Linked DNA regions of Canis lupus familiaris. The protein of the gene in region 1 interacts with the protein of each later gene in a pairwise test. Links are inferred from orthologs where the notes say so. Each region holds a gene or a part of one and is shown on either strand. Other genes may lie near its edges. The genes, in order: CHN1, NCK2 and HEMK1.

The links.
Region 2: the proteins of CHN1 (region 1) and NCK2 interact in binary tests that used the Homo sapiens proteins (3 or more experiments, as listed by UniProt). The two-hybrid records come from large-scale screens. The link is inferred for Canis lupus familiaris from reciprocal best matches to the Homo sapiens genes CHN1 and NCK2.
Region 3: the proteins of CHN1 (region 1) and HEMK1 interact in binary tests that used the Homo sapiens proteins (3 or more experiments, as listed by UniProt). The two-hybrid records come from large-scale screens. The link is inferred for Canis lupus familiaris from reciprocal best matches to the Homo sapiens genes CHN1 and HEMK1.

What each region holds. Positions count from the first base shown.
Region 1 is NC_049257.1:19,184,422-19,194,234, forward strand, and holds part of CHN1 (N-chimaerin), read right to left. Parts: intron 5,613-9,813; coding exon 5,324-5,612; intron 3,302-5,323; exon of another isoform or gene 3,287-3,301; coding exon of another isoform or gene 3,278-3,286; intron 1-3,277. UniProt on the Homo sapiens protein: GTPase-activating protein for p21-rac and a phorbol ester receptor. Involved in the assembly of neuronal locomotor circuits as a direct effector of EPHA4 in axon guidance.
Region 2 is NC_049231.1:38,781,461-38,791,884, reverse strand, and holds the start of NCK2 (cytoplasmic protein NCK2), read left to right. Parts: upstream 1-4,856; 5' UTR 4,857-4,966; intron 4,967-5,087; exon of another isoform or gene 5,088-5,202; intron 5,203-6,181; exon of another isoform or gene 6,182-6,248; intron 6,249-6,670; exon of another isoform or gene 6,671-7,054; intron 7,055-7,163; 5' UTR 7,164-7,301; intron 7,302-10,424. UniProt on the Homo sapiens protein: Adapter protein which associates with tyrosine-phosphorylated growth factor receptors or their cellular substrates. Maintains low levels of EIF2S1 phosphorylation by promoting its dephosphorylation by PP1.
Region 3 is NC_049241.1:39,198,587-39,209,189, reverse strand, and holds the start of HEMK1 (MTRF1L release factor glutamine methyltransferase), read left to right. Parts: upstream 1-3,664; 5' UTR 3,665-3,816; intron 3,817-3,952; exon of another isoform or gene 3,953-4,089; intron 4,090-4,822; exon of another isoform or gene 4,823-4,925; intron 4,926-5,049; 5' UTR 5,050-5,173; coding exon 5,174-5,401; intron 5,402-5,688; coding exon 5,689-5,780; intron 5,781-6,049; exon of another isoform or gene 6,050-6,088; coding exon 6,089-6,182; intron 6,183-10,283; coding exon 10,284-10,418; intron 10,419-10,603. Other genes in the region: C20H3orf18 (uncharacterized protein C3orf18 homolog), read right to left, coding at 28-261. UniProt on the Homo sapiens protein: N5-glutamine methyltransferase responsible for the methylation of the glutamine residue in the universally conserved GGQ motif of the mitochondrial translation release factors MTRF1, MTRF1L, MRPL58/ICT1 and MTRFR.

The DNA.
Region 1 (9,813 bases):
TTCCTTACAAACAGGTGGCACGCAATAAATGTTGAATTAAACACAATTAATTTTGATGGGAGAGGAGTTAGTTCATGGAGATGAAAAGAAATGAGGACATAGGCCTCCAGATTAGACACAATTAGAAGTATCACAGCATTACTACAAGAGAAACTTCACTATCAGATGAAGGGATTAGGAACCATCTGATGTTATCTTGTGGACCTGGAGGACACTTCAAGCAATGAAAACATCCTTTTTTATTTTTTTAAAACAGTGATATAAAACTATTTATTTAAAAAAATATCCTTATGTTATTTAACCATAGGCTAAATACAAAATATAGGCATTTAATTTTATTTTTGATTAGGTACAATATAACACTACATGATTCTTATTTTATAAATTTTATTTTAAACTGTTCTCTTTTTAAGTTCATTATGTGTGCAAAGTAGAGGACAACAGTCATATAATGCCAGCCAAGTGGTGGCGTTATATGGAAGCACTTTTAGACATTGAGGTGAACTGAGACCCAGAGAGATTTAGGATTTGCTCAAGACCACACAGACTAATATATACTTATATACTGACTATGTAGGATTTTTTAAAAACTCTACTTGATTTCTTTCTTTCTTTTTTTTGTTTTTGTTTTTAAGATTTATTTATTTGAGAAAGTGCGTGCACAGGGGGTTGGGGTAGAGGGAGAGGGCAAGAGAAACCCAAGCAGACTGCATGCTGAGCTCAATCCAGTGACCCTGCACTCATGACCTGAGGCAAAACCAAGACTTGGATTCTCAACTGCCTGTGCCACCCAGGAACCCCATTACTCTACTTGAGTCTTAAGAAGGATATTAACAGAGGACAAACCCACTATGAAAGTTCTGCACAGTAACTGTAGTCTCCCTCATAAATTATTAAACTGGCTTTTTAATATAAATAGGTGACCCTGGGCACATCTGGCAGTTCTCCAAGGGCCTGTTCACCCCTGGAATGACCGATCCAAACCTTAACAAGCCACAGGGGAAACATGAGCATGTAAATTTGACTAGGAAGAGAGCGATGGATGTTGATAAGGTAGGGTTAGAAAGGAGATGAACAAGAGGAGCACAGGTTAGGGAGGAATAAGGAAGGGGGAAAAGATGGGTCTTACAAAGTGGGAAAGCAGAGAATCAAGAATTCAAACAGTTTTTTATATTGTTACTTTTGTAATGATGAAATTGAAGTATGGTTCTCTGCTGATTTCTACATTAGGATTATATGGATACAAATAATACATAAATAATGTATATATTTATATTTTATAAATATAAAGCAAAGTAAAGACTTTTAGAAAGGTTGCTTTGTGGGAGAATTAAGAAAATTAGCAGACAGGACCTCCTGTGCTCCTTTCACCATTCCCAGGGACATAGACTCTTATCACTTCATAGAGGTACCCAGAGAATTCCAGTAGGTATGGCAGTTTTTTGGCAAGGCCCTGATTACATTTCAACCTCATATTTTACAAGGCCTTTCAATACATATGCAGTCTGGTGCTCTCCAAAGAAGTCTTTAAAAAGTGGAATTTAAACATAAAAGAAATTCCTTAAGAATAAATTATTATGACAGTATGCAAAACACTGCAACCATCTCAAACTTCCAGGAGAAGAAAAATACATATACACACAGACACATAAAGGTTATTTGGCCTAGTAAAGTTCCATAAAACCAATAAATGGATTTTTCACACCCTTGTCATCACAGGTCATTGTTATATGTGAGAAAGTTTTGGGCTTAAAAGACTAAATCTAAAAGTAAAGAAGTTCTTGCCAGATTCAGAGTTCTGACTCATAGCATAGTTTCTGAAATGCAAATTACATATTTGACAGTTTATATTATTAACATTATGAGCCATTTTTAAAAGCATGGCTTTGGAGAATTTAAAATTATATTATTAATAAGTATAAAATCATCATAAAAACTGTTGCATTCAGCCATTGGTCCAGTATCTGTTGAAGCGAGCATACTATACTGACAACTTGGAAAAAGAAACTATTCAAATACAGTTCCAAGATAAATTTTGAAAAAGCCACTAATAAAAGCTGGGCTCATGGCCAGTCTGGATGCTGAAGTTAAGCCATTTTACAAGAGAAGGAAGTCCAGCTTTTCAACATGCTACAACTTCATGATTAAATTTCTCTCAATGTTTTTAAAAAATAATTTTAAATTTCTGATATTTCAAGCTGGAGAAGCAACTTAAACAGTTAATGAAAAAAATGACATAGATGTCTCTCAAAATAAATTTTTTCCCCTCACAGCAGGCCACAAAATTTCCTAGAGACAGCTAAGAACCTTCAGGTCTCATTTCCTTTGGCAAAAAACTTCCTGGCCATAAAACAATTCTGACAACCATCCACAAAGCTCAGATGCTCAACTTACACCTTAAGTACTGAAGAAAAAAAAAAAAAAATCCACACGGAATTTTTATCCTTCGATTTTTAGAACAAGAAAAGATCTTAAGAGATCATCTGGTTCAGAATTTCCCCAAGTGGATTTCATGAAAACACTATTTTCCTAAATAATTTTCTGAACAGTGGCAGGGCGATCCAGATGAGTTTGGGAACACTCTAGGAGAGTCATAATACATACTAGGTTATTAGCAAAACTGAGAAGCCCACAGAAAAGGAACAGGTAAGTTAAAAAAAAAAACAACTTTATTTTTAATCAAACCTATTTGAGCACAAAGCCCTTTTTGCAGCAAGTATTTATAATGAAAATCTTGTAAAAGTACTGTCTTATAGAAAACCCCTTATCTATGAAGAATCTGCAGTCCAGACTGGTTAGGAGATTGTCCCAAAGTGATACAATCAATTGGTAGATAAGCTAAAAATAGATCTCCCCTTTCAAGGCCCAAGTATGGTGCTGTTTCTAGTACTGTGTTCTCTCTTTCTTGTACACCTACACTCCTTGAAGGATCACAGACTAGAACAAGAACCACATCTTGGAGATCATCTAGTCTAAAGCTCTCTTGCTAAAAGTGGGGAAATACAGTCTCAGAAAAGTAAAGCAATTCGCCCAAAGTGACACATAAAATCAATTCCTATTGTAGAAACTGGAATCTAGCTCTTAATTCCAATACCAGAAACCTTTCTATGACAGTGTACTAACTCCTGCAAAATCAACACTTTTTGCCTCTGAAGAAAAGGCAAGCCCCTCATGGACAAATGGGCTTTAGCTATTCAGGACCCAGTAAAATATTTACTAAACCATACTAGTGGCAAGAGATATTTTAAATCAATTAAACACGATTGTCTTTACTTACAAATGTCATCAACTGTGACAGGGAATCAATGTTTCACCTCTTGAACAGGTCATCATCCCTGTCCTGTTGGATGACACCTATAAATAAAATAAATCTATTTTTGAGTGAGTAGATTTTAAGCCAACTAGATTTAAGATGCATGCAGTTTAAAGCAAAGAGTAATTTTTTAAATGATTCTTAATTATGTACTGCTGGAGAGAACTAGTTCCCAATGCCAGCTATTTCACTCTATGTGGCTATCACTGGCCATCAGCACAAGACAATCCAGGCAATCTAACATGTAATGTTGCCAGAATACACGGGGAATCCTGGATCCTAGAGCTAAAAGGGTCCTTTAGGCATTATCTATCTCAGTGTCTTTCCTTTGTGAATACTATTTTCACTTTGTAGGACGGACAACCAAGATCCTATGAGTTTAAACGACCAGTCCAATGAGAAATAGCTAAGTGTTGTTAGCGGAAGTCTCTTGATGTTGAAAAGGATATCCAGAACACATTAACAAAGGTTATCATTAGGCCGATAAACTCTAAAAAACCCCACATGCACACACTATAAAAATATTTCACAAATGTTAACTTAGAACAGTTTATCATAGTTGCATAAAACATATTTTCAGTATTAGAGATACTTAAATGCAAGCATTACTGAAAGATGCCATGAATGGAAAATAACCAAAAGTGAGAAAATGGGAATTAGAGAGTGAAAAGAACAATATTAAATATAGCATGCTTTTAGGATTCTAAATTCTAGTTACTTCCAAAAAAGATCTGAGTTCCTAACAAATATGAAAACCATTTTCTGTAATCTGTAATTTCAAAAGTTGGTTTCTCTGTACCCACAAAGTGCCACTTTGAATTAGATTTGCCAAAAACTAAAATTCAGGCTAGACAATGAACATCTTAGGTTTCCATTCTGTACCTAAAAACTTTAAGACAACTAGAAGTATTTTAGGATACTACACCTTGAGGTAATATGGCTGTTAAAGTAACATTACCACCAAACTCGAGTGCTTACTATGTGCCAATCACTGTTCGATTATCTAACACATACTATCTCCTTAAATCAATTCTCACAACTTGATTACTACCATTTTGCAAATAAGAACATCAAAGCACAGAGAAATTAAGTGACGTGAAGTAAGCTCACACAACAGGTAAAATGGCAGAATTTGCACACAAATCTATTTGATGACACAATCCAAGCTCAAAGCACTATGTAATACTGCATTTCTTTAACATGGCAACTGGAGAGTTTCAAAAATATAAGAATGGATCAACACAATTCTAGTTAGAATACATAAAATTCTCCTACCTACATCCTACACAATAAAACATCAGGAAATTCTTTGACTCATTTTCTTGGGGATAAGGAGGCAAGTAGGGACAATTTTCAAAGTAAAATAATATCAATGCTAAGGATTTGAAACTTCTAATGTTAACTAAATATGTTATAAAATATGCCAAATGAAAAACTTAAGTTGTCTTTTATAATTAAAATAAATCTTCTGATTCAATTACTTCATAAGAGTCCAGCAGGAGACAAACGCTCCTGCTACTCAGGACTGACTGATTCTCAAAATAGTGTAATAGTTATTGATAGACTAAATTTAATCCTATGTATTTTAAAGTGTGGATATCTATCATTTTGCTAAAGAATAGAACTATTTATAAAGGGAATGAAAAGGCAGTTTTGATAGATTACATGACCCCCTCAATTTCTGATGGGATATAGCTATATTTTCTTGACCACAGTTATGGTTCTAACCCAAAGCCCTGAACTTTTTTTTTTAATTAGGGAGCATTTTTTTCAGCATAGTTTTAAACCATGAAACTGATGAAATAGGAAATAATAGGGAACACAAGCATTTACCTGACATAACTGAACCAGGTTTAGATATATGCAAAGCTCAGCACCAACGAAACCAGACATCAAGGAAAATGCACATCTTTTTCAAAGCTCTATGAAGCCAGCCTCTTCTGGCAGTCATGGCTTTTTCATACAGACCCCGAACAGAAGAAGATCAAGTGTGGTTTCATGGTAGCTTACCCTTTTCTCTGACACCCCATCCTGGCCTGTAGAATCTCTCTCATCATGTGTCTCTTTCAGGACTGGCATATGTTTTTGGTATGCTGGCTCTCTGTTTAAGGTTGTGTATCCTATGTGCTCATAAATTGGGTTTATCGTCATCTTGGCAATGTATTCTGCTGCCTTGGTTTCAATATAGAGAGTAATCAATCCATCAGTCACCAGATCGTGGATGGACTCAAAGCGCTTCTCCCCAACGAAGTGCTTTCCATCGTAGTACAGCCTGAAGTTTCTGGTTTGACTTCCAAATCTGCCTCAATGAAATGGGAAAGATGTTTTTAAGAAAAGTAAGCAACTGAATTCTTTCCGAAAAGAAAAAAAGAACAACAAAAAAAAAACTATTGCTTTGTTTGTGTGTGTCTTCTTTGTTAAATAAACTGTGGCTAATTTCTATAAATCGTCTGGAATATAGAAAATAAAACTTTTTAACACAAAGAATGAATTTGCAACAACTAGGGATAACTAGCCAAAAGCATGTCTCCTCTAGAAGGAAAAAAATGTTCTTGTTTGTCTTTTTAAACCACTTCATTATCCTGTAGGAAAAACAAGGAAAATAAAGCCCATATCCTATTAGAACACATTCTATATTCAATTGGTCAACTCCATCATGGATGAAATTTCTATATTAACATGTTCTCTTCAAGTTCATCAATAAAAATATTCAACATACTACGGACCCCATGATTCATGTCTTTTAATGGGAAAGCTCCCTTTAGGGCTCACCTAAGTATGATGCCAGCAACCCATTTAAAGTAGAGCTGATTCCAGAACCTGAGCCATAGAGTAGGGCAAGAGAGCGACAGACACATATTTTTGTGATTACTAGCCATGGGTCAATGACTTGCTCTTCCCTATTACAGAGTCATTTTTCTGTGTCTCCTTGTTGAGTCTAAACAAGAAATATCTACAATATATATAGGGCATAGAAATCATATACTACTAGACTATAGATATTCGGTTCTCACTTTTTTTTTTTCCTGTTCTCACTTTTGGGTCATGCTTTGGTGACATACTTTAAAAACTGGAGAATAATGACTTTAGTTTTATGATAATTTCAGTATTTTGCTTCCTGACTTTATGAAAGCTGATGCCAACAGGCACCAACAGCCAGTATCATGGTTTCCCAAAGGTGGTCTCAAGTGAGCCTAATTAAAAACTAAACAAATTAGAAATAGTGTATTTATTTTTATTGTTAAAAACACACAGAACAACAACAAACCAGAACAGATAATCTAGAACCAACCTGGCATTATGATCATGATGGCCCTTCTACTAAAATAAAATTTATCCACATTTTGGTTCTTTAATAGCAATTATATTTTGACTTATACTCAGGTGAATGATCCATATAATTCCAATTTCCCATTCTCCACTTTCCTGTAATGTTATAAATTTCTCCTGAGTAAATTTTCATTATAATGAAAGTCTAAAAAACTGGAAGGTAAAATTTCTACACCAAAATTAAATGTAAAAGTTTTTTTTCAGTTTAATATGCTGCTTTTATAATTTCCTTTTTGCTAATATATATCTGCTTTTGAGAAATAAACATGGAGAGCCATTTTATAATTTTTATAAGATTCTTAAAATAATCACTCATAACACTGTTTAACATGAAGTCCTTTTATATTTCAATTATATTCAGAGGCATTTCAATGAAGGAATAGTCCATTTTACTCCTTCAGAGCCTTATAATTTTACAGTGCATATGACACTTAAACTTAAGACTATCCAAGCAGTGGTGGAAGGCATTTGTCACTTGAATTTCTTCTAAAATCTGAGCAGTATGGGAACGTTGGGCAGAAGGAAAGATGGCTGGCATAGCCTCATGTGGGTTGGGATGGTTAGACTGAAAGAGCAGATCTCACAATGGGTCCCTCTTCACAATGGGTCTATTCCTAAGCCAACCAAGGAGAGGATTTCCTGGCTACCTCTAGGTATTGGGCAAAAAAGACTAAGTAAGTTTGTCCTTTTCTCTTTATCACAGCAACTTCAAGAAACCCTACATACAATTCCCAATTCTTCCTCAGCTGGCACTTCAGCTTTGGGCTTAAGGTACAATCAAACTTCAAGTCTTAAGGAAGGTGATCAGATAACTAAAGTAATTCATAATATGGGTTGATTTAAAACTTAACCTCAAAGGACAAGAAAATGAATTTCCATTTTGGAATTAGGATTGATTTTTTTCTAAGAAAGCTGCATTATTTTCACTACAGGAACTGTATGCTTTCTTTGCCTACCCTGTACCGCCCTCTCTTTCACTTTGGAGGTTACATAAAGAACAGCATCACAGCAGAGACCGGCAGAGTTGTCTTCTCTTCTGTGATTTGAAAGGCATGACAGAAAATCTTTGAGGAGGGTGGGGAATGGATGTGTCTCGTCTACAAATAAGAGCCATAAAAAGAGAGATGCCAAATCTAAAGGGCGAAGAAAGAATTCATCCTTGTAAAAGTTTGCCACTTACAGACTGTCATTTATGCAACATTTAACAACACACCCAGATAGTTCAGAATAAAGTTCCTGTTCCCTTGATTACCTCAATAGGAAATAGATATACATAAAAACAAGCCAATAGAAACACAAGATGAAACATGGAATTTTATTTATTTATTTTTAAAGGTCTGTTTTATGTTTGTTTTTGTTTTTGTTTTTTTTAAGTAAACTCTGCCCTCAATGTGGAGTTCTAACTCATGATCCCAAGGTCAAGAGTCATATGTTCTACCAACTGAGCCTGCCAGGTGCTCCGAAATGCTGAATTTTAAAGAATTTATCTTCAGTTTGATTTCTAAAAAATTATTATAAAAATGTGTATAGCCTTGATCTTAAATGGAAAAGGTACATTTCTTTGCAGTGATTCGTGAAAGCAAGTCAATCCAATGTCTCTGTCACAATATGAAAACCGAGGAACTCCCTGCTTAAATAAGGTCTCAGAACTACTGCTTATGTCCCAAGTACAAAAGCGCCCTTGCAGCCTTGAAATTAGATTTGACCAGGGAAAGAAAGGCAAAATGTGGGTCCTGTGTGTTTAACAGAAAACCTTAGGTTTTGGGACCAGACAAAATAAGTTTAAATCCTGGAATGGCCACTTTTTAAGCTGAGTGATTTGAGAAAATCCTTCTTCAGATTCTGCATCTAGAGAACAGGAATCACATCATCTTTCTCTACCTGGTTGTGAGGATTACATAAACATATTTAAGTCAAAGCTAAATACATATACTAGGTTCAATGAATTGTAGTTCCCTTTCTCCTACTGTTAGGCCTCTGCAGAGAATGACAGAACATGTATCAAACAATAAAGTAAAACAGAAAAGAGAATAAATATGCATTGTAGGAGGCTAAATAAATAACTGGTAATCCAAATAACTTGTATAGGAACATCTCCGCACTGGTTGGTTTTATAGTCAACACATGGCAAAGATGACCTCTTTGTGAATTTTTTCAGATGTCCCTGAATAAGTTTATATTACTGGTGTAACAGAGTGGAACTACAGCAGAATGCAAAGAGGGGAGGAAAAGAGAAGCAATGTATCTTTGCACTGTGGCTTGTGAGTCAGGTATTGGAATTCAAAGGCGAAAGGTCAGCCAATGTAGTCATACTAAACGCGGGGCATGTTAAGTGGATCTGGTGATGAGAGTTGAATTTCACACTACAGAGCACTGATTTGTAAAAACTGCTAAGGCTAAACAATTTTCCTCCATTTCTATAGGAAATTTTTTCTTTTCATTTTTTTCTTATATTTATTATCTGCATTTGCCTTTGCTTTTTTATAGCTGTTCACTCTTTGGTGAACATATCTGAAGCTGTACAGGGCCAACTCTCCCCTAGAGAGTTCAACAAAATTCATTTTCTTCAAAGTGGTACTATAGTTAACAAATAGAGAAGAGAGACTGGGATAATCTGCTTTGAACTGCTACTGTTGTAATACATAATTACCACTTTCTAGAAATGTATTTTTCTCCAGTGATTTCAGGTTTTGGTCTTCATGTTTTAAAGAACTGTTTAATGCACCCAGCTGCATTCAGATGAATTTCAAAATACATAATCCTAACATATAGCTTTAAAAAGTGAACAAAACCCTTAATACCACCCTGTTTTTTAGAAGTAAATTGTACTAAAAAAACTCAGTCTAGAGGTACAAAGTGATGAAAATATGTATAAGGAATAGCCTTTGGGATTTTGCTTTACTTCTTCTAAAACCAAAAATTAGTTCTGATTTGAGGTCAAAGTATTTGAAAATATCTCTTCAAAGGAAAGCTCCAAGCTAACAGATGTTTTCTCTTACCAAAGAAACATATACAACACACTTGTGTAAGTCAACAATAAAATGTTAGAACTATTTCCAGAAACCAACATGTAAGAACAGTTTTATTTGTCATAAATACATATTTGTGTATTGCTTACCAAAGTCAAAGAAGCTAATCAAATGATGAAATACAAGTATCTCACAAATTTA
Region 2 (10,424 bases), on another chromosome or scaffold:
TATCTTCAGACTCATGTTTCTGTTCCACCCCCCCCCCCTTGCCCCTGCTAATGTAGGTAAAATGAAATACCGAAATCTGTAAGTCCACAGTATTTGTTCTGAAATTCTTATGGTGAGATCATAAAGGCCTCTTTTTTAGATCTCCTCACTAATGCTCACAGTCCTGTGTTGCCTTTGGCAAACTCACAGAGGTGTGGAATTTTCATCCATCATTACAGATCTATTAAGTGTCTGATCCTACTGGGTACAGAGAATAAGGTGCTAGAGCTGCAGAAGAAAATCAGACTCAGTCCCTGCCCTCAGGGTGTTTCCATCTGTGCTAAAATGGATGTCACAATTAAGGAGCAGTGTGGTTCGTTACCCCAGTGGAATATTCTAGATCGAGAGCACTAATAGCTACTCTCCCAGCCACAGGTCACTCAAGGGTAGGAACTGTGCTTTGCTCATTTCTGTAGAACAATCTCTGCGTAGTAAGTTGGCAATAATGTGCATTAAATTTAAGTAAATGGACAAAACCAGAACTGTTTATCCCTAATAGATCAGTTTATCCTGCTTTCCGATTACTGATATTGATACCATCATCTTTGTACACATTCATGTCTGAACCCTCAGGTTATATTTGATGCCCTCTCCCCCTCTGCCTCCCCATATCTGATCACTTGTCAATTCCTTGTCTTTCCCCTTAATTTCCCCTGCACTGATGCTCCTCCATTGACTCCACCCTAATTTGAATTATTACATCTGAGTAATGCAAACATAACACCACTCTTCCTACCTCCAGGTGTTCCTTGGTTTGCATGCCAAATGAGTTGTCCTGCGACCAAGCTCCCATGATGTCCACACTTAATAACCATATCTCCTTGGTCTTACCTCCCCTGGATCCTTGGCTGGCATCCTCCATTCCACTGAGGCAAATAGGGGCATTCCCTGTTGCCATGGAATCTTGCCACATTTCCCCTCTGTGCTCAGGGTTCTAAGTTTCCTCCATCTGGAATTTCCTCCCTGTCTCTAACTTTCAAAATCCTCATAGTTTGTGGATGCCTGGGTGGCTCAGTCAGATAAATGGTGTCTTCAGCTCAGATCATGATCCTAGGGTCCTGGAATGGAGCTCCATGTTGGACTCCCTGCTTGGTGGGGAGTCTGCTTCTCCCTCTCCCTCTGCCTCTCCCGTTTGCTTGTGTTCTCTCTCTCTCAAATAAGTAACATTTTAAAAATCTTTAAAAATTTCTTATAGTTTGTGTCATTTAGGGGTTTGGGTAACAGGAAGGGGAAGTGCCTCTGGTGGCCTTAAACAGAACAGGGATTTATGGTAAGAATATCAAGTAGCTTGCAGTGGGGCTGGAGATGCTGGGAGAAGGGGTGAGAACCAAGCAGCTTAACGCCTCTGTAAGGAGGTTCCAGGACCCCTTCCTGTAAAAGCAAACTGTATCTCCTCTTCCTCCCCTCTGTCACCCTCTTCAGTTTCAAAGTCTTGAGGGAGAAGGTTCTACTGGTCAATTTCAGACCATTCATTCTTACAGGGCTTTGGGGAGGGAAGAGATGGAGAAACCCACTCTGCTCCCCTCCACAGTCAGCCAGGGGCTGCCTTAAAACCAGGAAGGGGGCTGTCTAGAGGGCCACCAAGGTCTCTCAAGGTCCATTCCTGATGCTACCACCTTTCATGAAATCTAAAGACTCCTCTGACTCCCAGAACATATTTTGCTTGGGGTTTTTCATATTTAGTTTTATATTAGAGTTATTTGTATCCTGGTCTTATCCTTCCTCTGAGATTAAAATCTCCACTTATTTTTATTTCTCCTGAATTATCTCTTATAATGCAAATAGACATATACAAGATATGTTTAATTAAATTGAATGTTAAGATAGAAGGTCATAGAAAAGCTGATACAAGTGTTTACCATGTGCCGACAGACAGTTGAAACATGTTTACATTATCTCACTTATTCTCACAGCTTTTTGTAAGAGTAGTGTTATTACTATTTGAGGCCCAAAGAGGTTAAATGATCTTAAGTCATGGGCTTGTAGGCAGGCTGCATGCCTCTGAAGTCTGACCCAACACCCTCAACTTTACCTTGGATTTCCCATGAGTCTAACGAGGGGTCTCTGAATGGAGCTCTGAAGAAAGAGTGGGGTGAGAAATGTCTTCCTATGTCTATATGGTCAAAGTAGAAATTGGTGTGACTAAGTGGGACACAGGGTGGGGAGCAGAGTGACCAGAGTAAATAGCTTAGATTGTGACAGAGTCAACAATGAGATTTTTGTGGTAGGACTAAGTTTAAGAACCGTTAGAAAGACAAGTCTTAGGATTTAACGTTGAAATGATTTGGAGGGAAAGGTTTATACTTTTTCTTTTCTCTTTTTGTTAGACAGGGAGAGGAAGGGAGAGGAAGACGGAAAGGATGAGAGATAATTTTAAGCAGGCTCCATACCCAGTGCAGAGCCCTGTGCAGGGCTTGACCTCACAACCCTGAGATCATGACCTGAGCCAAAACCAAGAGATGGAAGCTTAACTGATTAAGCCACCCAGGCTCCCAAGGTTTGTACTTTTTCACTTTCAATATTTCATTATGGAAGACATTTCAATATTAACAGCATACTAACAGAGTGGAATGCGGAGACATACATTTTCAGATACAGCATCAGCTGAAAAGAAACGTCTCCCCCATGTTGGGTCTCACAGTGGGTCAAATGGTGGCCCCCAAAGATATGTTCATGTGGAAATTGTGAATGTGATCTTATTTGGAAAATGGGTATTAGTAGCTGTTATCAGGTAAGGATCTTAAGATCATCCTAGATGGTGGCAGGGTATGAGTGCGTGCATGTGTGTGTGTGTGTGTGTGTGTGTGTGTGTGTGTGTTCTAAATCCAATGGCAAGAGAGAAGGGGATCAGGCTATGGGAAGACAGAGGCAGATATTGAAGTAATGTTTCCACAGGTCAGGGCAGGCCTGGAGATACCAGAAGCTGGGAGAGGCAAGGAAGGATTCTCCACTAGAGCCTTCTGAGAGAATATGCTGACTCCTTGATTTTAGACTCTGGCTTCCAGAAGACTGAGAGAATAAACTCCTCTATTTTAAGCCATACAATTTGAGGTAATTTATTAAGACAGCTTCAGGAGGGGCACCTGGGTGGCTCAGTGGTTGAGTGTCTGCCTTTGGCTCAGGTCATGATCCCGGAATCCTGGGATGGAGGCCTGCATAGGCCTCCCCGCAGGGAGCTTACTTCTCCCTCTGCCTGTGTCTCTGCCTCTCATGAAACAAACAAACAAAAAAAGACAGCTCCAAGAAATGAATATAGGCCTCTTAGGCTCAGTTCCTCAGCCTTCTCAGGAGCAAATGCTCATCTTCTGCTGTCAGAGAACTCTTGAGGAACTGTGGTAGGCCATGGGGAGTCATGGTTATTTCTTGAGCAGGGGCAGGACAAAATAGAAGCAATTTTTAGGAAGATTACTATGACAATGATACCCCAAAATTTGGGAGGTGGGTGAAAGTGAGCAACAGGAGGCTACTTGGAAGGCAATGGGGTGTACTGGAAAAAACACGAGTTTCGAAGTCAAGTATGTTTAGTTCTGACCCCAGTTCCTTCACTTACTGTTTCCATTTTTTTTATATGTATATGAGGATAATACTCTGTATATGTATACCTGTAACTCACACATGATACTATTATATATATTATATATAATTATTTTATACACACACAGATACACACACACACACATATAAAAGAAGTTTCATAAGTGTCATCAGTAACAATGTAAAAATTTGGATGGTGTCACTGGAAAGAGAAAAGAAGATACAAAGAGCTGTTTCAACAGCACCAGGACTCAGAATCATGAGGATTTAGACTGAGAGGGATCCCAAGGTCATCTTGCACTCTCTCCTCACTGCCTTTGGGGAGATCTTGGAGAGAGGGAAGGAAGGAAGAAATGAGATTGCAGTGAAGTTTCTCCAAGGAGCTGAGATGTCTGGTGGATTCTTGGCCAAGCCTGAGACCGTGGGAGGAGGAGCTACTTTGGGAAGAGGATAAATTTCATTCTGAACCTGGTGATATTGAAGAGATGATGAGCTGCCCAGAGAGACTGCAGACAATCTGGGGAATTCTCTAAGGCTACAGATCTGAGAGTTAATCACTGAACATCCAGACTGGAGGCATACAAAAAAATGATCAACTCTCTTAAAAAAAAACAAAAAAGGCACAAATCATTATAAAAACAAGGGGCCAAATTCTGCATCAGGAATATTACTGTTAGAGGTCAATATGCTCTCCAAGAGAATGATGTAGGAAGTTCAGAAGGGTAGCTGTGTTAGATAAATGAAAATAACTGAATTTCAGGTAATAGCAGAAATGCCACGTGCTTCTGAAGACTGCATAGGATAAAGATTAAGAAAGCGACATTGGATTTTAGATAGAGAATGTCCTTGGGGACTCTACCTTTGTAAAGGAAGGAAGAAGGAAGAGGAATTCAAGAACGGTGATTCAGTGATGGTTTACAAAGCAGACAAGTTAAAAACTGGGTCAATGTTATTATATGGATTTTGGGTAAACTAATTTAAAATTGGGTCAGACCATTTATTATAATTCTGCCTTCCTTATTAGTAAGACAAAAGGATGAACTGAGGCAGCTCTTTCCCCAAGGGCAAAGAGAAGGAGGCTATCCAGATTCCCTGATCTTGGATCCGTCCCTGCTCAGTACACTGTACCTACTCCCAGCTAGTGACCTACAGAGTGTGCCCTACAGGCAGGAAGGGTGCCAGGGACTGACATGGGAGCTAGGTAAACACGATCTCTCCATTTGTTAAATTTTAGATCGGTTAAGAAACACCTGTGCAAGGTTCCGCAGTTGAAAAAGCAGATAGTCAAAGGCTGTACTGTGACTTCAAAGGTATACTGGTTCTGGTTACCCAACCTGGATACTTCCTTTTGTGAACAAGGCAGAGGATCAATGGTTCAGCCTTGTCACCTTGGGTAAGTTATTATTGCCTTAATAGTAATGAGAAGCCAGGAGCCTAAGAAAGAATCTCATTAACATGGATCCAGGCTATTCCGCCAGGAAATCAGAATCACTTGAATAGTCGGGTTTCCTTTTGGGAAGCCGTGTGGGAAGGAGACTGGAGCACAGGCAGCTGGATGCATGTGCCTGTTAGAGGACAACTTGTGTTTCCCCTTCCTCCAGGGTTTTAATCTTCCGAATTTGTTTACAGGTAAGTCCCTGCGTGTGGCCAGGTGACCGGACCAGTCCCACTAGTAGTGACAAGGCCTGGGGGGGGGGGGGGTGCGGGGAGGGGCCCAGCCGCTGGCAGCGCCTGCCAGGTTCTGCCGGGTGGGCGCGGGGGGCTGGGCCGCAGGCGGGGCGGCGCGGGGCCGCGTGTCCTCTCTGCTCTCAAGAAGTGCTTCCGACGGGAATGATGGAGTACAAAAGTGTCTGTTTGGGAAAGTAAATAGATACAAGGCAAATAAATAAAAATGCCCAGAGGCAATTACAGAGAGGAAGTGACATTTTTATGTAAGTCACTTTTCTGATGGACCCCAGGCCTGCCTTGCCGAGGGTGCCGTGGGAATGCTTCCGGGAGGGGGCCGGCCGCCAAACAACTAGAGCGTCGCGATAAGAAAATCAAACAAAAAGAGGATGGAAAGGCCGCGCGGCAGTCACTGGGGGCTGGAAGTTGCTGCCTTTCTCTCCCCTGCCGTCCGCTCGCCGCCAGCGCTGCCCCAGTCCCCGCGCGGGCAGCCGGCAGCGGGCAGCGGGCAGCGGGCAGCCGGGACCCCCGCCCTCCCCGCGCCCCGCGCCCCCCGCGCCCCCCGCGCGCCCCGGCCGAGCCCCGGGTCCCCGCGCCGCCCGCCGCCCGCCCGCGCCGCCCCAGGTGGGAGCCGGGCCCCCGCCCCCCGCCCCCCTCGCCCGGGCCGGCCCTGGGCGGGGTCGCGCGCGGCCGGGGAGGAGCGGCGCGAGGAGGAGGAGGAGGAAGCGCGCGGAGGGGCGGGCGCAGCGCCGGGGGAGGGTCGCCGCCGCCGCCGCCGGGATCGTCAGGCCGGAGCCGCGCGGCCGAGCGGGCGGCGGGCGGCGGGAGGCGGGAGCGGCGGGAGGCTCGCGGCGGCGGCGGCGGCGGCGGGGTCCGCCCGGGCCGGCAGCGTCCGCCGCGCGGCGGGAGGAGGGAGCGGCGCAGACAAAGAGCGGCGCCTGGGCGGGCGCGGTGCGGCCGCCGCCCCGGGACCCGCGCCGCTGCCCTCCGCTCGGCGGGCGGCGCAGGAGGTAAGGCGGTGCCGGCGGGCGGGCGGGCGCGGGGCGGGGGCCGCCAAGTTGGGCCGCGCGGGGGGCGGCGCGCGCCCGGGGGCGGGGGCGGGGCGGGGGCGGGGGCCGTGCCCTGGGCGCCCCGCACCGCCCTGGGCCCCGCCGCGGCCTGCCCCCCGCTCCCGGCTGCGCACCTCCGCGCCCGCCTTCCGGGCCCCCCTGTGCGGGCCGGGCCGGGCCGGGCCGGGCGGGGGCGCGGGGGCGCGGGGGCAGGGCGGCGCTGCCGGGACCGGGGACCCGGGGCGCGCGGGGGCGGGGGCCGGGGGCGCGGGGGCGCGGGGACGAGCGGCCCCGGGAGGAAGCGCCGCGGCTCGCGGGGCCGCGGGAGGCCGCGGGAGGCCCGGAGAACTTGCTGTGCTTATGGCAACTCTCCTGACCCCGCACAAAGCTGCTGTCACGCCGCGTGGGGGAGGCCCTCGCCTGGGCGCGGGGCCGCGGGGCCCGGGGACGGTGCCAGGCTCCGCGCCGCGTCCCGCATGGGCAGGACCTCCCGCACCTGGAAGAAAGTTTCTCACGACGCTTGGCCTCCCGGTGTGTTCGGGGCGATCTAACCACCAAGTGGTTCTGGAAGAAACCGGCGTGTGGTTGGGTTTTAAGGCACTGAAGGCACCTCCCCCGTGAGCGCACCGAGTGTGGCGTTGCGTGGAGGCGTCTACTTTGCAGAAACGCCTTCGTGCGTGGACAGTAACGATCGCCTTGGAAGGTCTGCGGGGGATGCGGGGCGCGGCGGCTGGTGAACACCGGGCACCTGACTCTTCACGAGCTTTGTAAGGGCTTCAGGGACGGGGCAGGGACGGGGACAGTAGGCCTCTGTCACTTCAGACAATTGCGGTTGGCAGTTTCCCCTTTATTTGTTTTCGTTTATTTTGCCAACAGGTTTAAGGCTGAATCTGCCAACTTTGTGTCTGTATAAGGGGATGAGCAGGCCCCAGCGCTGGGCCCCCTCCTTCCGTTGAACCAAACAGAAACTGAACCACGGAGGCCAGCGGGCACGGCCTAGCCCCAGACCTGCAGGTAGGAGAGGCCCTCCCTGGTTCAGGCCCTGGCTTCTGGGAAGGGATTTGGGTAGGAATGAGAGTAATTCGGGTGTGTTTCATACCACTGCTGGTATATCGTTAGCAGCCCTGCTCTGCAAGTCTTAGAACGACTGAAAATGAAATTAACCAGGGCTACTATAACTTAATCAAAACAGATCTAAACTTTGCTTCTGAACACTCTCTTAACGCACCTACCAGGCGTTCCTGGGTGGGTGGGTGAGTGAACAGGATTCAGGCATGTGCCGCGTTTTATGAAAATAATGGTCGCCAGCGGACGCGCAGAGAAGAGATGGGCTTGACTGGCTGGGGAGGTGGGGCTGTTGATGGAGGTTTTTCGGTGTTTGGAACAGGGATTTCCCGAGAAATGGGTGTTAATCAGGCTAGTGAAGCAGTGACCAACATGGGAAAATCCTCCCTTAATTATTTCTCCTTTTGAGGTTACTTAGATGTACTTTGGATGGCAGGAAAAGACCGGATGTTTGTGGTCTTCTGGCTGCAGCTACTTGGAGGCTGAAATTGAAAACTTTAAGCGGCGGGGAGCTTGTGGAGGTGCTTGGCTCCGCTTCCTCTCCGATAGGCCTCACCTGGGCTCAGCTCGGAGCTTCTCAGCTGCTACCTAAACACACAACAGTATTGATCATGGGAACTGTGGATGAAATTGGGTGACAAACTGCCACCCGTAGAACTGAGTGCTCTATCACCCACCTCTGCCCACTCGTGGGAAAGCTGGCCCCGATTGATTGATTGATTGGTTGATTTTTTAAAAGATTCTGTTTGTAAGTAATCTCTACACCCAATGTGGGGCTGGAACTCACAACGCTGAGATCAAAAGTCCCATGCTCCTTGGACAGAGCCAGCCAGGCGCCCCAAAACTGGCCCTTTTTAAATGGGTAGGGCTTGCGTAAGATGCATTTCTAATAGCCTGTGCTCAGTTTCCAGGCTTTGGGTTTTGCTTTGTGACATGGTCCATGGTTACGTCTCTTCATCCCTGAAATCTGTGACCCTGCCCTGTCATTTGCATTGGGGGATTATTGAGGTTTTCCAACTGACAGCCGATCTTATGTACACAGTATTTGAGAAAGGCACTATCATCCATATTAAATACACCGGAAATCTTCTTTGCGTGTGCACAAACTAGATAACCTTTTGAAATACCCCAAAGACTCCCTGATTGCCTGGAATAACTGGAGTCCTTTACTTGATAACTTGCATTAGCTTAATTTGCCCTGGCTAAATGAGGCTGTTTTGCTCTCCGGGATACACATGCTTCTAACTGCCCAGACTGACTTGCAGCGTGTGCTGGGGGAGAGAGGGTTCTCCATCATTCAGAACAAGGCTGGCTAGCTGAGGAGCTGAAAATTGCTGGATCTGCAGGGGGAGGGCAGTGTACAGTGTTCGGGAAAACTAGTAAGCTGAACTTTATTTCACAAATGAACTGGAAACTCCCCACCACTCACCCCAGAGGCTTAGGGAATTAGTTTTCCCGTCCAGAGGGATAGCAAATGGCACTTCCAAATTGTTTCTCTTTTCTCAGATGAGTGATGGAAACCCTTCATGACATATTTTCAAAGGGCCTAAGCTAAAAATGCTGTCATGTATGTTCAGTGCTTGAATTCAGGTGACTTAGAAGGAGGCCAAGACAGCCCTCTAACCGGTTATCAAAAGTATGCAGCTAAAGTAAAAATAGTTTCCAATTTCTTTAGGTCACTTTAGTAACACAGTTTTAACAATTAGACTGTTCTTTCCTTTCCTACATTTTACGTTGAACAGATCCAAACGTATGTATACTTCTGAAGGTGTAATCAACATTAGCAAGTTATATCACCCCCCCCAACACGCGCACACTCACTCTCTCTCTCCCTCTCGCGCGCGCACACACACACACACGTGTCACAATCTGCCCTGTGGTTTCTGTGTTTGTATCTTAAACACGTGGTTTGCCGTAAATTCTTACCGAACACATGAATGCTGAGTTCTGAGCCTATTGAGTTATTAGGGCTCTAGGTTCCCACTGAGATATAAAGCCAGAATCTTTGTACATTCTGCTCAGAACCTGTGACATGGTGGAAGGTGTTGTCCCTAGGATGGGCAAATGTGGTCTGATGGCCTCTCTCTTGAGTAAATTCTCAATCACATGAATCATTTATAGTCCTGAAGCTAAACTTAACGAAACAAACAAAAAGCAAAACAAAAAACAAATCCAGTTGCATAAACCACCTGGTGGCTTGGCTCTATATAGTACTTTTCAGTAGATTGTGGGTGTCAACACCAACTGGAAACTTGGGGCAAAGCATTTGTTACCCTGGCTTAGTTCGTTAGCACCACCTTACTCTTTCATCCCCTTCATATTTTTAATGTTTTTAAGGGAAGAAACTTCAAGTATATTAACAATTTAAATACTGCAGTTTCCTCTTGATAGCTCGGCTGGTTAGTGGTTAGTGAAGATCCAAAGTGCCATAGTCAGATAAAAATAATCGATATTAATACTCGTGCATTAATTTATAGTTTACAGTTTGCTTTCCAGCAGTGCTGTCCTATTTAATATTTGAAAAAATAACAAGGTAAAATGGGCTCTAGTCCTTATTTCTGTGTGAGGAGACCAGAGCTCGAAATTGAGGTAAGTCCTTGCCATCTGAGCCCTGTGGCCCTGCTAAGCAGGAGGTAGATAAGGAACACCAGAAGGTGCTGCATCGACGTTTTTGTGAGGCTCCTGATCCACAGGCATGTAGCGCAGCCGTGGATCCCTTTGCCATTTGCAGATGTGAACAAATAGTGCTTGGGAGCAGATTCTTGGTGTGAGTTGATTCTTTGAAGATGAGCCGTTTCAGAGGAGACCATTTCGGTGAGCAGTTTCCGTGAACTTTTGTCTTTGCCTCATTGCCAGGAGCTGGCATGGCTGTGGAAGTCTGCAACAGGGTGCTTACTCTTGCTTATTATGTCTATCAGTCTGCTCTGGATGCTGTAACGGTACCGCACAGTCCGTAAAGCAGAAATTTCTTTCCCACAGTTCTAGAAACTGGAAAGTCCAAGATCAGAGTGCTGGCAGATTCAGGTCTTGGTGAGTCTCTCGTCCCGGCTTATAGGAGGGCACCTTCTCGCT
Region 3 (10,603 bases), on another chromosome or scaffold:
GGTCAGCCCCAGCCTCTCAGCTCTTACCATGGCCACAGCCAGTCCAATGACGGTGATGATCCCAAAGGACAGAAGCATTGTGCCCACGCCAGCTGTGCCACCAGCCACATCAGGGATTCTGGTGTCATTAAAGCTGGTAGCTTCTGTGCTGAGGGTGGTGGTCTCGGAGGCTGGCCCCTCTGTGGCAGGCTCCAGGTCAGGCTCAGAGGTGGGTGGGCTACTGCTAAACCAGCCCCGGGCAGGGGGGATCCTGGAGTTCATGCTGATACTGACAGGGCCCTGGCTGAGCGACTGCCTGTGGTCAGTCAACCTGCCAACTCGCTTCTGACATCAGTGGTGTCCCAGCCCGTGGCCCCTTCCTATACTTGCAGGTTGCCACCTCCTGGGAGAAAAGGAGCTCCCTGGCCCCCTGGGTGCTGGAAAAGAATGAAAAACATGAGGCTTAGGACAGGACTCAGTGGTGACATCAAGTACCCCCAAGTTCTGGAGGTACTGGGGTAATAAAAGTTTGAGGGCAAAGGCAGGTTCAGGGGACATCAGGACATATGCTTTATTTAAGTATAGCTCCCTCGTGGATTTAGGAAGGTGAAAATGAAGCCCTGCCCCTTCTTTGAGGGTATGATAACCATAGTGATCATACTTAGAAGATATGAAAAGTAGTCGGGAGATTTGAAAGAAAGTCTCTCCCTTGCAAAATACCCACTTCTCCACCCCTCTACTCCCCACATTTCCCACCTCCTCACTCCCTGCCCCCCCATATCCCTTACCTCCTTCTTGGAGGAAAAAAAAAATACTGCAGCTTTTTCCTTTCCAGGAGGGAAACGTTTGCCCAAGAGTCAGATGACCCTAGGCTTGTCACTCCACCTCTTGGGTCTCAGATCTCCTGGGTTTTAGGTAGAGATTAACAACAAACAAACAAACAATACCCCACTTCCCTCACAGCCTCACAGGTCATAAGGTCATTGAAATGTCAGAATGAACTTGTCCCTAGCAAAGACTTAGCTCAGCGCAACCCCTGCCCACAGTAAGTACCCAGTATATAGACGTTCCCCCCCCCCCCCCCACCAACTGCTTCTTGGAGCTTGGGAAGAGGAGCCACAGGAGCTCCCCACCTAGCCCACTGTGTAATCCAAGCTGTGTTTGTGGAACAGGGGTGAGGGGGGTGGATGGTAAGCATGGAGAGACCAGAAGGCAGGAAGGTGAGACAGCTAAAGTCAGGTCCTCTGGCAGGGCTTCCCTGCAGGCTCTTAGGGTCACTGGACCTCCATGGGGAGCTAGGGGCTGCCAGGGACAAGGGAGACAAGGGGAGCAGGGAGCATATATTCACATGCAGGGATGGGGCTCCCACTCTGAGGTGCTTCTCCTCCCTCACCCTCCGCCATTGAGAACAGAGGGTGAGAGATGGGCCCAGACCAGGGTGTGGCTTACATCTTCCCAGGCCAGAAGGCCCCCGGTAAGGCCAGGTGGGACAGGGTCCCAGCCAAGGTGCAGAAGGGCGGGGCCTAGGGAGAGGGGGGATACACAGCTCCTGGCTGTACACATGCATCCCTGCACTAGCTCATGGGGGTTTGTGGGGTGCCTCCCTGTGCAGGTGCATGGGTGTGTGTGAGGCACGTACACACTAATGATTGCTCCTCAGGAAGGGGCAAGGTGGGCAGGGAGATGTGGGGGTTCATCCTTCTCTGCCCTCTCTCTCTGGCTAGGCTGAACGCGACAGCAGTCCCAGGTTCTTTCTTGGCTCTGCCTCTGACCCCAAACCGTGACCTTGGGCCTGACCCTTAACTCTTGCTCTGGGCTGTTTATTCCTGGGTCCACAGCAGAGAAAAAGGCCCTGCTCTTCACTGTCTGGGACTGCCTGGGGGTCCAAAGGGCAAGAGAAGGGGGTCCAAACGGGCGAAATGGGTTGGCACCGCGACCTTCGAGAACCCGCATACCGTTGTCTGCCAGGTTCCTCAGTCCTCCCTGCTCCAATCCCCATCCCCGCCTCTGCGACTCGGTGATTCCTCCATTCCTGCACAGAAGCTGCGGCTTCAGCACTTACTTAATCCTCTCTGGGGCGCCGAGCTCAGCCGGAAAGGCTAGGGGTGCTGGCGATCGGCAGGAGGCCGGGGCGGGGGGCGGCGGGGCCGACCCCGCGTCCGCCCTCCCCCTCCGGGTGAGCTCCGAGCCGCGGGTTGGGCCCGCTGCAGCGCACGGCCGGCAGCCGCGAGCGCCGGCTCAGCCAGCCTCAGCCGCCGGGCGCGGGCAGGCAGGGCCTGGACCCACCGCGGGGGCGGGGCCGAGGCCGGGAGCCCCGCGGGTCCCCCGCGCTCCGGCGCCTCGCCTCCCCGCCGGCTCCGCGCCCCCGGCTCCCGATTGGCTGCCAGGCCCACAGCCTGCCGGGCGCCGGCCCTCTCGCCCGCCGCGGGATCTGGCTCCGCCCCCAGTAGGAGCCGGACACAAGGTCTCGGGTCTTGGAGACCACCCGTGACCACCCGTGCGCTACGCCGAGGTCGGGTGGGGGTCCGTGGGGGTGGCCAAGCCCTTCCTGCCCCAGAACTCGCGCGGAGCTCCACCTCCGCCGATGGCTTCGTGCTCCCAGGACGCAGGCGGATGCTGGAGGCTCGGGGAGAGCACTGTACTGGGAGTCCTCGGATCTGTATTGACCTCTGGCTCCCCCCTCTGTTGCTTTGTTACCTTGACCGACAAGCTTCCCCTCCCGGGGGCTCGGCTTCCAGCTTAGAAGGGCTCTACTGAGAGGGCTCTTGGTAAACGACACCCACTTCGGGCTAAAAATAGGGCAGCTTAGTCCAGAAAAGTTGGGAGCCTTTGGTATTATTATTATTATTATTGGTCGGCCGGACACAAGCAAGACTACATATACCCCTAACAATAGCCCCCATCTATGGCGCGAAATCTCAGGGGAGGGACCCTCAGATACCTTCTAATCCTCGGGTTTTCAAAGGAGTTTATGGGGATCACCGGAGAAGCTTCTGTTACCAAGGAGATCCCTGAGCCCCCCTCCCCCCTTCCCCTCCGGTCTGGGACCCAGTCCAGGAAACTGCATGTTTAACATCAGTTAACAGTGATCTACTTAACAACAGATTCTGATGGGGTAGGGCGTCGGCACCACACTTGGTGGGACACTGTCATGAATTTTGTAAAAGGAACAGCTGAGGCCCACAGAGTGAGCTGCCAACGGTCGGGATTCGAACTCAGGTCTCCGGCGTTCGGTTTTGAACCTTCCTGCCCCAAACCCTGAAACCCGGGAGCAAGAGGCTCCAGAGCGGTCCTGGGGTCTAGTGGCCACCCGGCCGCCAGCGCGGCTCCGGCAGCTTCCTCGGCCGAGTAGTGGACACGGGGTCCCGCCCCCAACCCTGGAATCCGTCCACGTGCTGCCGGGCCTGCGGGAGGCTACGCTAGACCACGCCCCTGGACCGACCCGGCGCCCCGGTTCTCGAACCCGAGCTGGCTGGTGACCCGCCGCCGCGGCCGGGTACCCAAACGCCAGCTCGGAGTAGTCCCCTCGGGCTGCGAGCGCGTCCCTTCCGTGACCTTCAGGAAGAATCGCCGGTCGCGGCCCGCAGGGAGCCAGCTCCCGCACATCCACGCACTCCCCCGGCCCGCGGGGCTGCGGGCGTGACTCGCGCGGCTGCTGCAGCGTCCCCAGGGCTCCCCCGGCGGAACCCAGGAGCGCTAGGAACCCTGGAGCTGAGCGGCCGGGTCCGCCCGACCCTTTTCTCCGACGCTCGGCGCAGCGCGGGTCCGGCATATCCGGGAGCCGAGCCCCGGCCTCTGCGCAGCCTGGCGGGCCGGCGGGGGGAAGCCTCCAGGCAGGTATGCGCTAGGAGTGGGAACCGGGACGGGGCCCCCGGACTGCCACACCCTTGAGTCCCTCCCCCCGCGTTATACAGATGCTGAAACGGGCTTGGGGAGAGGCGACGTCGCCTGGGTCATTAATAATGCCTTGCAGAGCTGAGAGGGAAGCAGCTGCGTCCCTGACCTCGGACCTCGGGCGCCTCTGGGGCAACGCTTAGTGGGCAGAGCCGCCTCTGAAGTCCGGGGGACCTGGGTTTGTGTCCTGCGTGGGACACGTCTAGCGAGGTGATGGTAGGCCAGTGGCTTTCCCTCTTGTAGCCTCCTTTCTCTTTCAGGTTCTCTTTGGAGATGTGACACCCAGCAGGGGCTCTATTAATACATGCTAGTTTGGACCTTGGTCTGTGCCAAGGGAAAGGGAAGCACTAATTTGATTTTTTTAATTATTTTTTTTATAAATTTATTTTTTATTGGTGTTCAATTTGCCAACATATAGAATAACACCCAGTGCTCATCCCGTCAAGTGCCCACCTCAGTGCCCGGCACCCAGTCACATCCCCCCCCACCTCCCCTTCCACCACCCCTAGTTCGTTTCCCAGGGGAACCACTAATTTTAACCCTTCTGTTAGACTTTGTGACAAATTAAAGTTAACAAAAGTGATAATTTTTTTTTTTTTTTAAGGCGGCAGTTTATCCTGATGTTTAGGATTATGGGTGAGACGGGGGTTGCGGGGGCGGGGGGTTAGCATACAGGTCAGTCACAGTACAAGAAAATGTCAAAAGCAAAGCTCCTAAGCAAAGGCAGTCTTCTCTTTCTTGTAAGTAGTTAAGGGCACGCAACAGAGTGCCTTCTGTGTGTTGAACTGGTTCCTGGCCCTTGACGTTCATTGTATAATATACTGCTTGCTATGGAGTTGGTGTTATTGTCCCCCCATTTCATGGAGGAGGACACTGGAACTTAGAAGTAATGACTTTCCCAAGGTCACACACATTAGGTGGAACAGATCTGTTCAAACCTCAATCCTAGGCCACGGTGCATTGCCAGGGACTGAGCTCCGGATTCAGCCCACTTCAGCTAAAAACATGAAGAAGACATAACTGGTCACAGAGGAGAAGAATGAAATAGATGGGTGAGGGTCTAAAATGGGATTGAGGTTAGCAGAGCAAGGGCATGCTCTGTCTCAGGCAGCAGGTCAGAGGGGAGTGGGTCACACAAGGCTCAGCTGCTCTCCTGGTTCTCCTTCCTTCTCCCAGGGCAGCAGTCACATCTGGAGCAGAACCACCTTGAGGAACCAGTGTCCATGACCATCTTTGGCAACTGACATCACAAGGAAGACTTACGGACTTGGGAGTGTTCAGGAGAATCATTCCCCAAGATATGGAGCTTGGGGGCCGAATGCTCTGGGCCCTCCTGTCTGGCCCTGGGAGGAGGGGAGGGACCAGGGGCTGGGCCTTCAGCTCATGGCAACCCCATCTGCCTCTGGCTGGGTTGTTGAATGCCAAAGAACTGGTCAGGCACTGGACTGCAGTCTTTGAGAAGAGGGGGATCCCTGAGGCCCAGGCATCCAGTGAGTACATCGTGGCTCATGTCCTTGGAGCCAAAACAGTTAAGTGCAGTATTGTCAAGAGTGCAGAAGAGGAGGGAGGGAGAGACCTAGGGAAGAACATCCAGGCATTTCTGCCCCACTGAGAATGCTGAGTTGAGAGTGATGGGTTTTTCTGGAGGAATGTTTTTAGTAGATACTTATTTATTCATCCAATGAACTATTACAGTGTGTGTCAGGCAGTAGGGGTCCAGGGATGGGTTGGTGTTGGGCCCACAGGTATTGTTCACATAAACCTGGGTCAGGCCCTCGATTGGGGAGTCAGCCACTCACATTCTCTGTGGGGCAGTTTCAGAGCCTGAGGCCAGAACTTTGGACACAGCCCCTGACCCCTTGGCAGTTGCAGTGCATCCAGGAGCTAAGTAGCCGCCGATTGCAAAGGTGAGCACCCATGGGCCAGACCTGAGGACTCTGTCAGGAACAGGTGTCTGGTTTCCACCAGGCCGACTCATGCACGGTCAGGAGGAAGAAAGTATCCGAGGACTAGGGAGGTGTTGGTATAAGGTATGGATGAGAGGGGGATCAGGCAAGTAGAAGGGAAGGAGGGAATGCCTTGCCTCAGAGTCCTGGGGTACAGGAAGCATGACCCTGACATTTTTGGTATCCCGCAAGGGGTATCTCTCAACCCAGTCGTGGTCCTGTTGGTCCAGGCTCTGGCACTGATGATCACCCAGCTGCCCCCTCTGCAGGATGCCTGTGCAGTACATCCTGGGTGAATGGGACTTTCAAGGGCTCAGTCTGAAGATGGCCCCCCCAGTGTTCATTCCTCGCCCGGAAACTGAGGTAGGTGTGCTACCAGGGCAGGGCAGCATGGATAAGAACAGTGGGGTTTTGAGCACCTTTCTTGCCCCATATTTCCTCCAGGGGGCGCTGGGACCCCATGATTTTTGTCCTCAGAGGCCTTCTCTGGCTACTGGTGTCTCATGGTTGGCTGAGTAGGAGGGGCCAAGAGTACAGAGGTCTCCTGCTGGCTTCCCTGACTGTCCTCGTGTCCCAGGCCTGGCCTACCCAATCCATGGTGGGGGAAAAAATTCCCTCTTCCTTCTCAGGAAGCATGGGTGAAATGGATAGTGTTCCAGCAGGACACCCAGAGGCCTGGTACAGCTGTGTGACCTAAGGGCCTCTAGCCTAGGGAGGGAATCTGACTTGGTCCTCTTAGATCTACTGTCTGGTCAGGTAATCACCTGTGTCCCTCATGTTACTATTAATAGGGATTGTGTGGCCCCAGTGTGCTATTCCTTGGTGATACACCCTTATTCTGGGAGAGATGCTCCCTGTGGCCCTTCTTGGGTTTCCCCCTAACACTGTAGGGAGCCAGAGAGAGCAGAGCAGATGGATAGGGCTGATGGGCAAGAAGGCACCAGGTTCCGAGCAGGGGTGTCTCTTGAAACGTACCCAGGCATACAACCATTCCCGGGAAAGATCAGGCTTCATTCACCTGCCCAAAAAGGGACCCAGAGCCCCTCCTCACTTTCCTAGCCTCTCCCCCCGAGCCAAGAAACTCTCTGACCCCATTCGCTTCCATATCATGTGCTTGAGAAGCCAGGTCCTCACTTTACGGCCCAGTGTTGGGAGGGACAGTAGGGAATATGAGAACTTCCTGAAGTCGCAGGGCTGCCAAGGGGAGGAGCATAGGGGCAGCATTTAGACTTCCTGACTCAGTCGGGGCCCCATCCTTCCCATGGGGCTACTCTATCTGAGATTGGATGAGTTGGGATGGAGTGCAGAGATCCAGAGCAGGATGTGAACTGCCACCTGTAGCCTCTTGGGAGGGTACCCAGTGTCTTTCCCAGGCATGTGAACTTTGGCTGGGAGGTCACTCAGAGTCTTCTGAGGCTGCTAAGGGTCAGGGCAGGGGAGGGAAACTAGTGATGACCTTTGAGTCCTCCTCAGGGCTGATCTGGCACCAGCCATGTGCTCCAGGGTTCTGAATATCGGATGTAGACTTCCAGCTCTCATCGGCCCCCCGGCCCCCATTCCTCTGTGGGTCTGAGCCAAGAAAGCAGCTCTGCTGCAAGGGGGAGGGGAAAGGGAAGACAGAGGGGGAGGCTGTGGTTGGGAGGCCAGGTCCTTACCTCACTGTACAGACGTTTCTGAGAACTTGCCAGGTTTGCCCCATTGTGAAGCCACATTGGGGGTGCTTTACCAAGAACTTGAAAGGACGTGGCCTGTGGCAGGGAGTAGGGAGAATGAGTTGCAGGGGAGAGATCATGGTGCCTATGTTCTTTCCATCCACTGAAAGGCAGTTTTGGTTAACGGGGGCAGAAGTCAGAAATGTGAAGGTGTATGTGGCATGTGGCTCAATGAGTTGGGCTTTCCCTGGGGGTGGTAGGGTGGCTTAGTCTTCGGCCTGCCAGTGTGTGCAGTGGGAAACCCAAGGCTGGGAGTGTGAGCCATCCCTATCCAACCTGGAGAGGTGAGGCTCTGTGGGGTGTAGGAGGCTCAACGCCTTGTCTGTGGTTGGCTTGCGGGAGATAGTGCCACCCTCCTGGGGCTGCCTACCAAGAGGATCCTAATGGAGGGTACTCAGAGCACTCAGTTCCTGCTGAGGCCTTGGCCGACCTCTTGAGGGGTCCTGGGGTCCAGTTGAGACAGTGGCTCCAGCAGAGCCAAAAAGCTGCCTATTTCCCACATTTCCCCATCCCCCATCCCAGGTCCTGCTGAGGCCTTGGCTGATCTCTTGAGGGGGTCTGGGGTCTTGTTGAGACAGTGGCTCCAGTAGAGCCAAAAAGCTGCCTGTTCCCCACATTCTCCCATCCCCCATCCCATCATGGTTTTGGATTCTTATTTACCTGGAGGAGGTGCCCTGGGTCTGTGACCATTTGGCTTTCAGCCTCCCCTAAAGAGCCACCAATTTCATGCTGATGGAGGCTGGAGGCTCTTCACTTGGTGAGGAGGAAAGTTTCTGGACTTTTTGCGGGTGGTCTCTACCCCTAGCACCCAGGTGGTCCCAAAGCTAAGATAATGCTCGAGTGGTCTGGAGTGTAACAGAGGGATTAGAGGGCACTGGGGGCAGTGGAGGCCCAGTCTTACACTTCACATGCTGCCTGGGGTGGCCGTTCATATATGTGGTATGCGTCTCTGAGGTCAGGGGTGTCTCTGTGAGGAGGCTGGTCAAGAGGTCATTCTCCAACCAGAGTAGGTCTGTCAGTGGCCAGGAAACCAAAAGAAGTTCACACCACTGACAAGTCTCAGCTATTCTATCAACCGCTCAGTATGTGGCCTCAGCGCTGACACCACAGTCTCCACTGTAGCCCTAGATTACTTGCGCTATGTCATTCCCAACACTGTGGGGCCAGATTGCTGCAAGCACCCTTACAGTCTCCCGGAGTGCCTGCTACAGCGCTGGCGGGAGCAAGTGAGGGGAATAGAAAGGGTTGGACCCACTGACCAAGTTCTACTTGTCTTGGACTTGCTACCTAGGGACAGGTGAGCTCTCTGCTCCTGGTATTGGGGGGCCTCTAAGAGTGAAATGCCTTTTGGGACTCAGCACTTGAGGAGCTTACATGGAAAACGGATCTGAGTGACCTGGAGCCACTGAGCCTGACTGTTGACATTGGAGGTTTGGGGGGACCTGGTGAGGGAGTCTGAAACTCAGAGGGTAACTTCCCACAATCACTGAGAAAGAGCTTTCCAAAGCCCTTGTGAAGTAGTCAGGAGGCCTCCCTGAGGGTCAGACCTTGCCTGTGGGACACGCTGTGATGGGTTAGATCCCTGGTCTTCCCATCATGGAGCCTTCAGTCTGGTGGGAGAGGCAAACCGCATCCTAGACTTGAGACTCATGGTGAGGAAAACCATGAGAGAGACCCTGCCAGGGGGTGAGGAAGCCTTTCTGGAGGAGGTAGACTTCTTTATAGATGATGGAAGCACCCACTTGCTGACCCCTCTGCCCATTCCCTGAGCCAGCCCTGCCTGGGATCCCAGGAGTCCCAAGTAAGACAATCACTCCTCAGGGCTGCCTTTGAGAAGGAGGGACACTGCCCTTTTCCAGCCCCATGCCAGCTACTTGGGGCCTCACTCCACTACTCATTAGAAACGATTGGCTTCTGGGCAGCAGCAGCCCCCTCTAGCCCTCACCTCTTCCCTCTATTGGCTTCCATGCACAGTCCCCCGTAGGTGGCAGATGGTGGACAAGACCATTGTTTCCAAAGTGACAGTGTCTAGAAGTGTCCCCCAGCCTCCAAGACAGGTATGGTGCAGTCAGGCACCTCCCATCACTCCATGCCCACTTATCCCATGCCCTGTGTGGATGGGGCTCAGGCAGGACTCTGTTGTCTCTACTATGCCCCACCCCTATGAAGGGAATTCCCTGTTCTTTTGGCCTGGGAACCTCCCTGGGAGCGTCCTAAGTTCAGCTCTAGGAAGAAGCTGGGGAAACTTTGGCTCCTGATGATTGGCCACTATGAGCTGTAAGCTGGGCTCTAGGAGGGGCCTTGACCCCTGGGCCTTGGCTTCCTCATGAGCTGGTTGTGAGGATCCAACAGATTAAAGGAAGGAAAGCTCTGGAAGCAGGGCCAGTCACAGAAGAAGTGGCCAGGAACCATCAGGTGTGGTTCTTAGCATTGCCATGAGCACGAGACAGAAAACTGTCTATAAAGGACCTAGCTGGGGTTATTGGACACTTAACACGTACTGGGAACAGGATCTGTGTTTCATGAATGCGGTTCTGTTTAGTCCCTCAGACACTCCGATGAGGTTGGTTATCCTCAGTGGCTCAGTTTTACAGATGGGGAATCTGAGGTGTAGAGAGGGAGATGAAGCTGTCTGGCTTTAGTCATCCCCTCTGCATTCACACAAAAGCTAACCATGCTTGGGCCTCTCTGCCAAGACCCCCAAGGAGGCCAGGTTGACGCTAACTCTGATTCAGATCCCTCTGCCTCACAGGAGTTGGTTGAGTGGGTGCTAGAGGAGGTAGCCCAGAGTCCCTGTGCAATGGGAACCCAAGATGGCCCCCTCATCCTGGAGGTGGGCTGTGGATCGGGAGCGATCTCCCTCAGTCTACTGAGTCAGCTTCCCCAGGTGAGCCCCCTCTGCATCCCTGTGCCCCACCCTGAGTAGACTGGGACTGCCACTCACTGGTCCTCTCCCCATCCATCTCTGCTAGAAGCACTTGAAGGGAGGTGGCCACACATGAGAGGACAGGGCTGCCTCCAGCCCATCATGGTTACAGCCTCTAACTCCCATCTTCTGTCTGGCCAGACTCT